Notamacropus eugenii: one gene and its partner. The protein of the gene in region 2 purifies or fractionates together with the protein of the main gene of each other region. This does not show direct contact. Links are inferred from orthologs where the notes say so. Each region holds a gene or a part of one and is shown on either strand. Other genes may lie near its edges.

Region 1 (7,345 bases), on a different chromosome or scaffold from region 2:
CTATTTATTCCTGTTTATGAGAGGCAGAACGGTATCCTGGGTACAGAACTGGCCTTGGAACTAGGAAGGTCTGACTTTTGAGTCCCACCTCTGACCCTACTGGCTCCATGACCCTGGGCAATCCACTTAACCTAGTGTTCCAGGTGACTCTCTAAGACAATGGTTCCTACCTTTTTTGTTCTGTGAACTCCTTTCTGAAAAAAAATTGTCATGAATCCATAGGGTAGCTGAATACCCTTGTGATAATATTCTTTTAGATTTATTCATTTAGTCCTTACAATAACTACAAGAACTTTTAGTCCCCAAAACCTCTCAATTAAAATTTGTATAATTGTAAAATATAAAATGTTATTCTATGTACAATTATGAAGATCAAATATAAAATTATAAACCTAATTATAAAATGATTACAAATATTTTATGTGGAACATTCTATAATAATTAGAAGACATGATCCCCCAAGACCTCAAATGTTTATTATCTTTGAGACTTCATACTAAATTTTGTTTAACTAATGTTGTGTTCAACAAAATTTGCAAATTTTGTTAAGTATAATGAACATTTTTAATTAAATAAGTTACAATTTGGAAGATGTTTACTATTCCATGATATAAATGGATAAACCTAAATTTGATGATGGACTTTTTAATTTGAATTAGATTTGCGACATTTGCCTTAACATCAAACATAGTCTTAAATTTTGTTCTAAAGTGAAGATTTTTCTGTATTTCGATTTAAAATGAGTATGATATGAAAATGTTCACTCACACAAATATTTGATAGCAAATGGTAGGAGAGTTTTATAAGCTCTCTTGCTGAGATAGAAACTCTTTTCGAAAAATTTTAGCTAGGTAATCACTCAACGAAAATGAGTAACTCGTTATGAAATAAAACATTCACTTTCCTACTGGCTAATGACAAGCGCTGTACTAAATGATAAATGTACCTAAAGTTTAATTGCATATATTGCTTCATTTTTGACAATATATATATTTTCCCTTCTAGGAATTGATTTGTGCTCACAGGTTGAACCGTTGTGTTCGTTTGGAAACAATTCGATGACGGGTTGAGAAATTGAAAGAACTGCACTTAAAAGCAGTCGAAGTTTGTCGGAATTGTTGAACAAACACCAAAATTGTTGTGCACATGATTATGATGGTTATCAGTCACTGCAGAAACAAACCTATAATGCTTCAAACATGCATATGCTTGTTGTCACAAAGAAAAAAATACATTTGAAACAAAATAATATAAGCTAACCTTTGAAAAGAAAGAATCTTTTCAGATGTGACCTTCTCTTCTACCACTGGCACACTAGCTACATTCTCACAAAACTCTACTAAACGACTGACCAGTGTTGCCAAACAGTTCATTTGAAAATACACCAGAGAGAAGAATCGTAACATAAGTGGATGACAAGTTTGTCAGAAAACAGCCTTAATACTGCAATGAGAGGTAATCAAAGGTTTGTTTTTGCAGAACATTTGTGATGGTCCATGATGGTTTCAAGATGGCTTTTAATTTGAATATTCATTGATCATGGTATTTAAATAGCCTGATATTTGCTCTGCAAAAAAGCAAAGGTTTGTAACATCTTGATCGTATGATTACCAGCTGATGAGATGTGATTACAGGGTAACAGAGAGGAACGAAGTAGCCACTCTGGCGCAGTGCACAGGACACAAATGAGGCTATATGTACCGGAGTTTGACCATCCATTGAGAACTGGTTTGGGCTTAAATTTTGAATCCTTATGTTGGTTTGGAAACAATTCGATGACAGGTTGAAAAACGGAAAGAATGCTTTGCACTTAGAAGCAGTCAGAGTAACAGCCACGTTGTGCAATGACTTTGATAGACTTTGCTCTTCTCAGCAATTCAAGGAACTAAAACAACTCCAAAAGACTCATGATGGAAAATGCCATCCACATCCACAGAAAGAAATATGGAGTCTGAATGCAGATCGAAGCAAACCATTCGCTCTCTTTTTTTGTTTCGTTTTGTTTCATTTTTTTCTTTCTCACGGTTCCTCCCTTTAGTTCCAATTCTTCTATGCAACATGACTAATGTGAAAAAATGCTTAATAGGAATGTATTATAGAGCCTATATCAGATTGCACACCATGTTGGGGAGGGAGGCGGAGAAAATTTAAAACTTATGGAAGTCAATGTTGAAAACTAAAAATAAATTAACTAATTAAAAAAAGTAGTCAGAGTTTGATGTTGATGTAATTGCTGTGGAAACACCAAAATTGTTGTGCACATGATTATGATGGTTGTCAGTCACTGCAGAAACAAACTTTTATAATGCTTCAAACATGCATGTGCTTGCTGTCTCAGAGGAAAAATACATTTGTAATATAATTGGACAATTGTTTATTACGTAAGGTGTTGTGAATGATTTTTCATTTTTTAAATTTTATTTTCAGTTATTCATTCTCTCCCTTCCTCCTCTCCTTCCTCCACCCACTAAGAAGACAATAAAAACAAAATCTGTTACAAATATGTATGGTTGTGCAAAACAAATTCTCACATGAGCTATTGAAAGCAAGGAAGGAAGGAAGGAAGGGAAAGAGGGAGGAAGGGAAAAAGGAAAGAGGGAAGGGAAATGCTGGAGTTATAAAAATAAAAAAATGAGCCACTTCCTACTCTCAAAAAGTTTACATTCTAATGGGGGAGGGGAGGAAATCTATAAAGGGGAGCTGAAAAGTTTGCATATTGGGAGGACTATAGCTGATCCAGTCAGGGACTCACCAGTCAGCCTCAGAGTGGAGTCATCCTTAGCAAGGCATGACTTGTCTCCCTTGATAGAATAGCTTATTGAGATTAGGGATGATTTCATTCTTTGTGTCCCTAGCACCTAGAACAGCACTTGGGAGAGAATGGGCACTTAATGCTAGATGGATTGATTGCTGAGTTCAACAAAGAGATCACCATGGAGCTATGAAAGAATAATGTAGTAGTAACAGGGAATTTCAGTTATCCAGTCTCCTACTGAAGAGTTTGCTCAGGAACAGAGCAGTTAGTACTCTTTTGATTTGACTTACAGGATCATTTAAAAGGTAGAAGAAGGGAGGAAGGAAGATTTTATTCTAGGTCTATTTTGCCAAAATGGAGGAATTCATTGGTGAGATGAAATGTCAGGAATCTTGGAGAACAGTGTTTACTACATCTTAGAATTTGTGAGAGAAGAGAGAAAAGTTGGGAATGGTCAAATTTGGGTTCTAGATTCTGAGAAAGTAGATTTTAAAAGGTTCAGAGAAAGAATAGGAAGGAACTCATGAACTATAATTCTACTGGGCTAATCATTCATTCTGGGAGAGATGGGAAACTCAAGAATGAATTTCTGAAGACACAATGAGAAAAAATTCCAGTGAGAAGAATAGATGGAGTTGTTTACTAAAATCGATGTGGATGCACAGGGACCTCACCAACCTGCTTACATTTCTAAAAGACACATGCAACAGATACAACCAAGAGTAAGTAACAGAATAAATACAAAATCAGGGCATGCTTCTGTAAAAAGAGTGTCAGGAGTGTGAAAACTCAGAATTGGTCAAGGTGAATGAGAACAAAAGGGATTTTAGGTATACTGTGAAAAAGAGGAGAATCAAAGAAGCTATAGGACCCCCTGGTCAGGATAAATGGGGCAATAAACTTAGAGCTACTCAATCATTATTTTGCTTCTGCCAAGGAAAATAATCTTTGGATTGGAAAGGACAGAATAGAAATGAGAAATAGGGAGTTGATATGCAAGAAAAGTGAAGGGATAATAAGAAAGTACTTAGCAGCCCTCAACGATTTCAAGTCACCTGTCCAAGATGAAGGACATGGGTAGGTTCTTTTGGTTTAGCCCTTGCCAGTTGATAGCTAAAAGATAGTGGAGAATGGGAGACATGCTGCAGGATTGGAGAAGGGCAAATGTCCTCAATTTTCCAAAAATAAACCCCCAAAACAAAAAAAAAGGCGAACTCATATCCTACGGACATTAAGCTAGTGTACTGAATTTGAATTTTGACACCTGGCAAGAACCTGGATTATGTTCATGGAAGGGGCAGTTCCTGAAGATCTCAAAAATCAGTGGTGGTGGAAAAGAACCAGCATAGTTTCCTTTAAAACGGGTACCGCCTGACTACCCTTTTTCAAGTAGTATTACTGAGCTTGGCACAGGGCCACATCACCCAAGATGGAGGTGTCCACATGGGAAACACAACGGGCTTGCTTCTCTGAGAAGGGATTCTGCTGTTCTCCTACCACGTGAGTGGGAGTAGTCTCTTTCCATTGGTCGTGTAGCCGGATATAGTTGCGTCTTTAAAACTACCAGACAAAGACCGTTTCTCGCTCTTTCTTTCCGGTGTTGCCCAGGAGTGAAGATCTTGTTTGCGCAGCATGGGCACTATGTACTAAGCTGGATAGGGGAAGGGTCACCTTCTCCTTCCCCTGGTACCCTGTGGCATCGGGAAAAGTGCACAGGGCTTTGGTTATCTGTTCTTTTCAGTTCTGGGTGCAGAAAGCGGCGAAGTTCCAGGACCTAGGAGGTTGAGTCATGGAGACTTCGGAGCCAGGCTTCCAGAATTTTGCCGGATGTTGCCACCACCCAAGCAGGAAGCCATTAGAAGCCAGGGACTGAAGCCTAAGGGGGCTTCAGACTCCGAATTTGGTGGAACTGGTGCTACATAGGAACTGATCTAAGCTGTGAACCTAATGGATTCCCATTCCCTTCCATTTCCCAGAGACGGAGAGGGTTATATCTTCCAAGGTAGGTGTTTCAGAGATAATGTTTGTATGTTGGTTTTTGTTATATCTTTGAAGTCAATATTCCTCTCTAAAAGGTAATCCCCTAAAAATTGTGAAACACACTTTATAGGGGTTTCAGCCCATGGTAGAGAGTAGATAATTCCCTAACTGCCTAAGAGTATTGGAGAACCCTGAAGGAGGGGTGCGGTGTAACCTACCGGGCCTTCAGGCAGTTAGGACCAAGGTAGACTTTGTTATTTTAGATTCCATCAGGGGAATGCCTGCAATAGCCAGTATGGGCTACATAAATCGTAATAAAACATTTGAAAGGTGTGGAGTTGATGCCAGCACAGTTAGGTGGATTTCAAACTAGTGCATATTCAAACCTAAAATTGTCAACTTTTGAAGGTAGGGTGTGTCTGGGATCTGTTTTAGGCTGGCCCTGTACTTTTTCACATTTGATCGATGACTTGGATAAAGATGGAAATACAAACCTGGGAGGGACAGCTAACACATTGAATGACAAAGTTGAGATTTGCAAAGATCTTCCTAGATCAGAACCGGAGTTTAAGATCTAGAGCTCCCAGAAACTACTTTGCCTATGTTTCATATTTCATTTTCCATGTATATTTTGTTTCATGCCCCCTCTCTCCAAGCTTCTTGAGTGCAGACACTGTTCTGTTTTTAGCTTTGTATTTCCAGAACCTACCACGGTACCTGACACATAGGTGGCTTAATTAAAACTTGTCAGATTGAATTGAATTGTATTGAAGCCTGCTTTGCCACTTACTCTCTGCAGATCTTGGTCAAATAATGGAATTCCTCTTGTCTTTTAATTTGCACATCTGTAGACTCTGAATCGGAATCCAATTAAACTCTGGGCTGAACTGAATAAATCTAACATGGATAAACATAAAACCTTCCTCTTGGTTCCCCCCCCACCCCCCCCACAAACCCAACCCCAAAGCCAACTTTGCAAGTACCAGATGGGGGTGGGGGTGGGGCTAGACAACAGTTCAGCTGAAAAAGATCTGGGGGTTGGACCGCAAGCTCCATATGAGTCAACAGTCAAGGTGGCTGCCAAGAAATCATCATTAAGAGAGGCAAAGCTTCCAGGATTAAGGAGGTGATTGTTTCACTCTCTGTTGCTCTGGGTGAACCACATCAGAAGTATTGTGGTCACTTCTGGGAGTCACCTTTTTGGAAGGACAACAAGCTAGAGAGTCCAAAGGAGGGCAACCAGGATTCAGAAGGACCTTGAGTCCAACTATATAAAGAAGGGTTTTAGGCACAATTTCAGCAAATTTATGAAGAAAAATGTTGCTCGCCTTCTGACACCTAGGTAATGGATTCCAGATTCGAACTGAGACATATTCTTAGACGTGGTCAGGGAAGGATTTGTTTTGCTTGACTATATAAAGGAGTTTGTTTTTCTTGCTTTCTTCCTGGGAGGGGGGTGCTTAGGGAGATAGGAGAGAGAAAGTTTTCAGCTCAAAGTAAAAATGAAATGGAATTTAGGGAAAAAAAGCCATATTAAAGGAACTAAGGATTTTGAACTTGGAAGATAGAATAATGTAGGGGAGAGGGAGTAAGCACATGATACCATGTTCAGGTATCTGAAGGGATATGAAATTCGAGAAAGGATTAGGCTTGTTCTGTTTGCCCCCACAGAGCTAAGTGGGGAACCTTCGGCCTGAGGCCACATGTGACTGTCTAGGTCCTCAATGGTGGCCCTTTGGCGAAATCCAAACTTCACAGAACGGATTTGTATTTGTTTGTGTCACTTCACCTGTCTGCCTCTGTTTCTTATCTATAAAATGAGGACAATATTAGCAGCTACCTCCCAGGGTTGCTGTGAGGATCAAAAGAGATCATATTTGTAAGGTGCTTAGCAAACCTTAAGCACTATGTGAAGTAGTAGTAGTAGTGGTGGTGGGGGTATATAAAGTAGTAGTAGTAGTGGTGGTGGGGGTATATAAAGTAGTAGTAGTAGTGGTGGTGGGGGTATATAAAGTAGTAGTAGTAGTGGTGGGGGGGGGTATATAAAGTAGTAGTAGTAGTGGTGGTGGGGGTATATAAAGTAGTAGTAGTAGCAGTTGATGATGATGTTCTATGGACATTGAGGTCCCTTCCAATTTTTTCAAAGCATTTATTAAGTGCTTACTATGTGTCGAGTGCGACAGCTAGGCGGTACAGTGGATAGAGCACTGGACTTGGAATCAGGAAGAGTCATCTTCATAAGTTCAAATCTGGCCTCAGTCACTTCCCAGCTATGTGACCCTGGGCAAGTCACTTCACTTCATTTGCCTCAGTTTCCTCATCTGTAAAATGGACTGGAGGAGGAAATGGCAAACCACTTCAGTTTTCTTACCAAGAAAACCTCAAAATGGGGTCACAAAGAGTTGGAACCAACTGAACGACATCATGTGCCAAGAACTGTGCTAAGCACTTTGGATATTGCTCAGGCCCTTGGCACATCCTTGCCCATTTGGCCACCCCTTAGGCAGTGTTGAGCTGTGAAAAATGAAGTAGGGTACTGAAGACATTTCATTAAACAGACACTTGTTGTTCAGTCATTTCAGTTGTGTCCAACTTTCCATGACCCCATTT
Region 2 (7,834 bases):
TCTGCAGAATGAGCTGGAGAAGGAAATGGTAAGCCACTCCAGCATCTTTGCCAAGAAAAACCCCTAATGGGGTCACAGAATTAGATATGACTGAAAAGCAACTGAACAACTACAACAAATGACTAGAAGGTCAACCTAGAGCTGGTGGTACCTTAGAAGTCATCTAATTGAGCATATTCCTCCTGGGATAGAACCTCCTCTACAATATGTCTATCACATGGTTTTCCAGCCTCCACTTGAAGACTTCTAATGAAGCCTGCCTACCTCTCAAGGCATCTCATTCCACTTTGAGATGGTTCAAATTATTAGAAAGTGCCCCCCCCAACATTAAATCTTTCTACAACTTCTACCCATTTGCTCTCACTGCCTTCCTTCAATAAGCATTTATGAAACACCTACTACATTCCAGACACTATGTTAGGTGCTGGAGGTACAAAGACAAGAATAATACAGTGTTTGCCTTCAAAGAATTAGGGAAACATGCTTAGTATGTAAGTACAAACTAAATGCAAAGTAATTTGGAGACAAAGGGACACACTATTAACTGGGGAATTAGGATTGGTTTTATGTATGAGCTGCACCAGAATTGAGTCTTGAAGGAAGCTAGAGATTCCACAAAGTAGACATAAGGAGGGAGTATATTCCAGGCATAAGGAACAATTTGTTCAAAGCAATGGAGATGAGAGATGGAATGTCCTGTATGGGCAATATAATGAAGGCTAGTTTCTCTGGAACAGAAAATGAATGAAGAGAGTAATACACAACCAGCCTGGAAAGGTAGGCAGGATCTAGCATAATCTTTGCCTTTTGGGACATAACAGAACAATTCTTATACTTTTTTTTTAAACAACTCTTACTACTCCCAAGTAATTTCTTTTCTGTGATAAAACATTCTCATTTCTTTGACCTGACTTTAGCACAACATGGTCTCTAGTTCCCTCACCATCCTAATTCTCCTCCTCCGGATTCACTCCAGGTTGTAAATGTAGAGGCCTAAAACTGAACTCTGTGCTCTGGGTATGGTCCTACCAGATCAGAGTACTTGGGAACTACTGGGGACTATTTCCAAAGTTCCTTTGCAAAGTCTCTAAGAGTATCAGCTTCTTTGGCCCATCATAGTGTAGACCCATATAAAGTTGCGATCCACAGGCTGTTTTTCACAGTAGCAGGCTAGAAGGGGAGATTATTCAAGGAGGTGGGGATGGGGAGACAAAGGCAATCTTCAGTCAATTGAAGCTCTGGATGTTAATTCATGAATTGAATCTCCAGTGAAAGTATACATGATTAAATTCTAAATTGTGTAACAAAAGGTAAGTAACACTTCATTTTCTCATGCTTAGCAACCCACTTCCTATAATCTTTTCACACCGTGATTCAGTATTGTATTTGACACTACATTCCCAAATTCTTATTTTTTTTAGCTATCTTGAGCTCTCAGTTAGAGGCGGGAAAATATTAAGGCTAGAGAGCCTGCCTTGGAGGCAGAGAATTTGGGTTCATTCATGTTTCTAGCTATGGGATCTTTTGCAAGTCATTCAATCTGTTAGTGCCCTCAGCATCTCTGTAATATGTTATAGATGAGTTTATGATGTTGTATCAGTAAGCACCCCAACATACACAGGGGGGCCAGCTATTACAGGTTCTTAGATCTGCATTCATAAAAGGAAAGGCAACTTTTGAGGAGTTAGCAATCACTTTAATCAGTCACATGTATCAATCCTTTAACCATACATGCACATATATCATTCACCTATTTCAGGGGCATCAGCACTCCAAACTTCAAAGAAAATACAGAGAAATTAAAGATCAATAGATATGGCTTCCTCTGCCTGAATTCAACAGACAATTGGACCCCCACTATCTGACCATAATTACCAGAGAGGGAAGCATGACATCTGGGTTCTCAAAGCTGGAGAGTTTGGGGGGTGTGGGGAGAGGAGGGCTCCTTAGCAGCTTCCCAGAGTCCTCATCTAACCAAACAAATGCTTCCAGTCAGTAAGCCCCAAAGTAATCGACAGACAAGGCTTCCCTCTGTCTGACCATAATTCAACAGACAGGTACAACTGTCTTTCCCAGAGAGGGAAGCATGACACCTGAGTTTTCAAAGCTGGGAGTGCTCCTTCAGTGGCTTCCCAGAGTCTTCATCTGGCACTCAAATCTTCTTGCAAAAACTAAACCCCAAAGTAAAACCTCACCCTCAGAGTATTTATATCTTTTTTTAGAGCCAGGGGCATCCCAACCCCTGAGAACCAGTGCCTTATCAACAAAAGCTGTGAGTGTTCCTACAAATCTTCCCTAATCAAACTCCCCTTAATGGGCAGGCCCATTAATATGTGGGAAAGGTCTTTAATCACATTAACAGTACAAATACAGGTACTGTTTCTAGTTAAAGAAATTCCTGTTTCTTTACTTTACTCTTAGCAAAAACTCTTGATTGATAAAGGCAAGATTCAATGAGAGGCACTTGATTATACTAAAACAAAACCAGCAAAAGATCCTATTTTGATTGCCATCGCAGATGCCTGTCACTGACGGGAGTTTTCACACCAGGAATTCCACCATACCATGAAATCACAAGACTATTAAGATAATATAGCTATCTCCACTGAAGCCTTACTCTAATATCTCATGACCTATGCCCACAAAGAAAGGCACTGGATTTGGTATCAGAAGACTTGGATTCAAGTCCAGACTCTTGTTACTAATGTGACTCTGGGCAAGTCACTTAATGTTTCTAGGTTTCAGATTACTCATTTCTAAAAGAAGGATATTCAATTACATGACTTCAAAGGCCCCTTCCCACTCCAAAACACCATAACACTAGGTCCTACCAACTTGAATGATTTTGAATATGGGCCCAGCAACAGACTGGGTCTAACAAACGAGAATTGGCCTAGTAGAGGATGCCAAGGCTCATTGACAGATGGTCGAACACTAGTGCAGGGACCTCCTTTTGGGTGGGCCTCACTTGAGGACCTAGAGGGACACATGTGGCCTCAAGGCTGCAGGTTTCCTACACCTGCACTAGGGTATTCATTTTTCTGGCCACAGTATCTCATGAAGACCATGTCTTAAGAATCAGAAGTGTGACAATCTACATTAGTTGAGGATTTGCCCACACCAAGGAAAATATAGACTCAAGTGCTAGCTAACGTATTTCGTACATTGACAGAAAGGTCATAGATAACCTATGCTAAAACAGACTTTACCAAATGAATAGCCCTTCCTTCCTGTGGTTTTTATTCCCCAAAGTTTTAAATTCCTACTAATTTCCTGAAATGCATCCTTATTTCCTGAAGAGAGGAAAAAGTTACATGCCTGGCTGTCCTGAATTCTGAGGTGAACTGTGAAAATTTTTTTAAGTACATAACTCTTCTTTTGGTCTTGGGATTTCCAAAGAAACATAATTTCTCATAGAAAATTGTATTCTAGTTCTGTTTGGGGTTTAAGACGTGGGATTTTTGGTCTGATTTGAACCTAGAGAGAGTTTTTCAGGTTTGGGGCTACCTCTTTGCAATATCAAGCCCATTCCATTCATTTGAAAAAAAATAGTCAATTCAGAGAAAAGATTTAATTGGATCTTTATATATCATGGAGACAACTGGTTGACTGAATGGTTTTTCATTTTTTAAGATAGTAGTTGTGGTGGTGGTGGTGTGTGTATGTGGTTTGTCCTTCATTCTTGAAGAGGACTGTGACATCAGAATATGATACCATGACTTGCAAGTGAACTGGATTTAAGTGAGGGAGGGCTGTGCAAAATCAACAGCCTCACTTTCTCCTCCAGAGCCATCTGGGTCCAGTGGCCAGATACAGATCAAGACAACTGGATATGGCCCAAGACAGCAACAACAGCAGCAATGATAAGAATAACAACATTTCTGATGCACTTTTGAGTATAAAGCACCTTGTATTATCCTCAAAATAACCCTCTGAGAGAAGAAGTGCAAGTATTATCCCCATTTTATGAATGAGGAAGCAAAAGGAAGCCTGTGGTCAAGAAGCAAATATTGTTGATGGGATTTAAACTCAGGGTTTTTGTCATTTAAGCTCTTTCAAAGATACTTAAGAAAACTGACACCTGGGATGTACTCCTATCCACCTTCAGTCTGTTTTCTACAATCCATGATATCACTGGTGTGGAGAGTCCCCTTCACCCATGCAGATCACAACCCCTCCATACTAAAGGTACCCACCTTTTTTCAGTCCCCATATGCTTCAATTTTCAGTAGTCCTTCCTATAGCCTCTATTAATATGAAAGCAAATAATTCATCCAGTTTTCTATGGTGATGCACATAAAAGTAGAATACAATTAATTTTCATAATGAAAATTTTATCTATCCATCCATCCATTCATTCATCCATCCATCTAATTATCTATGACACAGAAGTCCATTACCCAATAGAAAGATTTGGGTTTTTTTTCCCTGAAATAAAGATCCCAAACTCCTCTCCCTATTAGCCTAAAGATATGATTGTCCTGCAGTGGTGAATTGCAAAATATCTTTGCTAATCAGCACACTACAATCTTGGGGTCTTTTGTGCCCCAATTCAGAACAGTTCCTGAATTTAGAACCTCTGTTTGCTACTAAAAAGCAAGGTTGGAGTGTGCAGTTGCCTGTGATTTAGCCTGTAGAGCAGTATAAGGGGTTAATATTGAGGAACTTGGCTCTCGGTCAGCCTTTTTTTTCTTGGCTCTGCTCTGGGTTTCCCCGTTAAGGGATTTCCCTCCGCCTCTGCAGCAAGACCCTTTATAAAGAGCAGACTCTTTCTTCCATTGCTTACCCAGCTGCATTCACTTTGGAAGCAGCGGACAGTCCCTGGGTTTCTTCAGGTAGCACGGAGAGTGGGTAGTTTGGACTCGCTGTTTCCTCTATCACAACATACAAAATGTGTGGACAAAAGCTGGGAACTGTTCTGGCCACGAACCTCCTTTGGATGGTATTTGCTGCTTGTGAGTTTTTCTCCTTTAATTTCTTTTGCCTGCCTGCATCCATCTGAGCTACTGGGTTGATTTCAGACTCCTTAGTATTGCTGTTAAAAATGGTGCTGTGGTTTTTAAAGATAGAGGAAAACTTTGTTGAACTTAGTTTTCAAAGTGCTGTTGAATTTAGCTATGCATCAATGGTCTAGCATGGAGAGGGCCTTGAAAGTAATTTGGAATATGATTTCCCATGTGGAATGAATAATTTTGGTTCTATGGTATCTCTTTGCTAGTTTTCCATATTTGTGGGGAAATCAAATTTGTGAGGAAAATATCTAAAAGACCCTTAGAAATAGTGGCAAGTCTAAGCCTTAGTCACTGATCTTTTACTAAGGAGGATCATTCCAGCATCTTCCTTGACAATACGCTTCATTGTCTTTTTGAACACCTAGCTGGGAGATTCAAGTTATTTGGACAGGACAATTGATATATGACATTTTTCCCAGGATCCCAGAGGGTATAAAAGTGAGAGGAATACTAGATCAGAAGCTGGTAGTAAATTTTCTTTTCTTTTTTTCTTTTTCAGCGGAAGATCTGAAAATTGAGGTTGGCCCAAGTTTTAAGATCGCTGCTCAGATCGGGGGCTCCGCTAAGCTGACCTGCACTGTGACTGGCTGTGAAGCCCCTACTTTCTCTTGGAGAACCCAGATGGACAGCCCCCTATGGGGGAAGATACATACTGAAGGGACCAAGTCTACCTTGACCATGGATCCTGTTGGGTTCCAGAATGAACATTCTTATTTGTGCATGGCTGCATGTGGAAGCAAGAAAGTGGAGAAAGGAATCCTGGTGGAGCTCTATTGTAAGTTATCCACTCTTTGAGAACTCCTTGTTTTCAGTGAGATTAGTTGGGGGAAGGTGAATGTATGACTATTCCACAGGGGCCAAGTGTTAGATGAGGGAATAAACAGGGTACATGTATTTTTAATGATTAAACATTTTCCTCCTTAATTATTTTATTCAACCCAGAGAAGAAACTACTTGTTAAACTAAGAGATTCTTTCTTTTTCTTTTCTTTCTTTCTGCAAAATCCGGATTTTTCAAGGCTTAGTCCAGATGAACATCTCTCCATGTAACTTTCCTGGATACCCTCAATTTGTAGTGCTCACTTTCCCACTCCTAAGCTTTCAGTTTCTATTTTCCCACTAACACAGCAGTTTTTCAAGATAGTCACCTATACCTAATGACTATCTTTCAGCAGAGTCCTAACCTAACTAATCTTGACTCATTTACCTATCCAGCCCAGAAAGCTCAGCCACCTTTGTCTTTCTATCGGAAATAAGAACTGGGCAGAAATAGTGGGGTGTTCTAAAGGAGCAAAATCAGGATATAGATACTAAGGTGAGAAGAGAGTGTATTCATCTTTTGTTGCTGAAGAAGACCATGCCATCAGAGAAATAATGACATGACTTGCACTTGACTTTGTTTTGAGTGAGTGAGGGCTGTGCAGGTCACCAGCCTCACTTCTCCTCCAGAGCCATCTGAATACAGTGACTAGATATTCATCAGGATGACTGGAGATGAGCCAGGATGAGGCAATTGGGGTTAAGTGACTTGCCCAAGGCCACACAGCTAGTGAGTGTCAAGTGTATGAGGTGAGATTTGAACTCAGGTCCTCCTGACTCCTGCACTGGTGCTTTACCCACTGCACCACCTAGCTACCACTCTCTACTCTCTGGTACTCAACCCCAAAGAATACACATGTGCCTTATTTCTCCCCAATGCCACATCAATGATCCCTTATTTATTATGCCCATTAAACAAAAGTAGGAAATCTTAATTATTATTTATAAATATATATTTATATATACATACACATGCAATATATGTGATTATATATCATATAATAATATAAACACATAAATATGTATATACATATGTATATACGTATATATAAATAATTCTATCTCAGTTCTCAAAGACATCAGGTCAAACTCTCTCTGCTCCTTCTAGTATAGTATGCCACTTCTTGGCCATGTACAACTCCTACATGCTACATCTCTTTTCAGGCATGTATATATTTTCTCTTTCCATCTAGATCTTAAGTCCTTGTGTCTTATATTTCTTTGTATACTCAAAAGCACTTGGCATGATGCCTTGCACAAAAATAATATTTACTGATGAATTTTCCCCACTATCATCAATGGCATTAATAACACTGCTCTTGTACTGTCCCATCAAAGCTACATACATATATATATGTGTGTGTGTGTGTGTGTGTGTGCGCACGTGCATATGTACATATATACATATAAGATCTATTAACATATTAATGTAATATAATATCTATCTACATCTCTGCATGTAGTTTTCAGAGATGGAAAACTGGGCTTTAGGAAAGTTTGTGAGACTGAGTCAAAGTCAAGATTAGCAGAGATGCTTTATGGGAGAAGATATACACTGCCTTCTCCTTGTAAATCACTAAATCAAAGATTGATGACACTGGAAGGGACTTTGATAGCTCAACCCCTAATTTCAGAGATGAGGAAAATGAGACCCAGGAAAGGGAAGGCATTTGATCTAAATTGGTCTATTTATTTGTCTTCGTGTAGATCAAACAAAGCGAAAGATTGAGCCAAATGCAGGATAAATAATTCAGTACTATGCACTTTCTACTCTCCAGTAATGACATGATTTAGTTGATTTCCCTGACTTGGTTTCTGTACCCTGCTTCAGGCAGCAGGATTCAGAACACATAGGCATTATGCAACAGAAATTCTAACTAAGCCTTTCTCAACCCCCAGGACTATATTCAAGATGAATTTGATTCTCTTTATAAAGAGACTTGAACTGCTTAAAAGGGAGATCACTTCTATGGTATCATCTTATTATACAGAGCCAAGGATATA

The links.
Region 1: the proteins of VCAM1 (region 2) and MSN purify together in Homo sapiens (affinity purification with western blotting; 3 studies listed by BioGRID, with this or other methods). This does not show direct contact. The link is inferred for Notamacropus eugenii from reciprocal best matches to the Homo sapiens genes VCAM1 and MSN.

Annotation. Positions count from the first base shown.
Region 1 is NC_092879.1:25,989,887-25,997,231, forward strand, and holds the start of MSN (moesin), read left to right. Parts: upstream 1-4,338; 5' UTR 4,339-4,757; intron 4,758-7,345. UniProt on the Homo sapiens protein: Ezrin-radixin-moesin (ERM) family protein that connects the actin cytoskeleton to the plasma membrane and thereby regulates the structure and function of specific domains of the cell cortex.
Region 2 is NC_092873.1:277,201,206-277,209,039, forward strand, and holds the start of VCAM1 (vascular cell adhesion protein 1), read left to right. Parts: upstream 1-4,733; 5' UTR 4,734-4,891; coding exon 4,892-4,955; intron 4,956-5,511; coding exon 5,512-5,787; intron 5,788-7,834. UniProt on the Homo sapiens protein: Cell adhesion glycoprotein predominantly expressed on the surface of endothelial cells that plays an important role in immune surveillance and inflammation.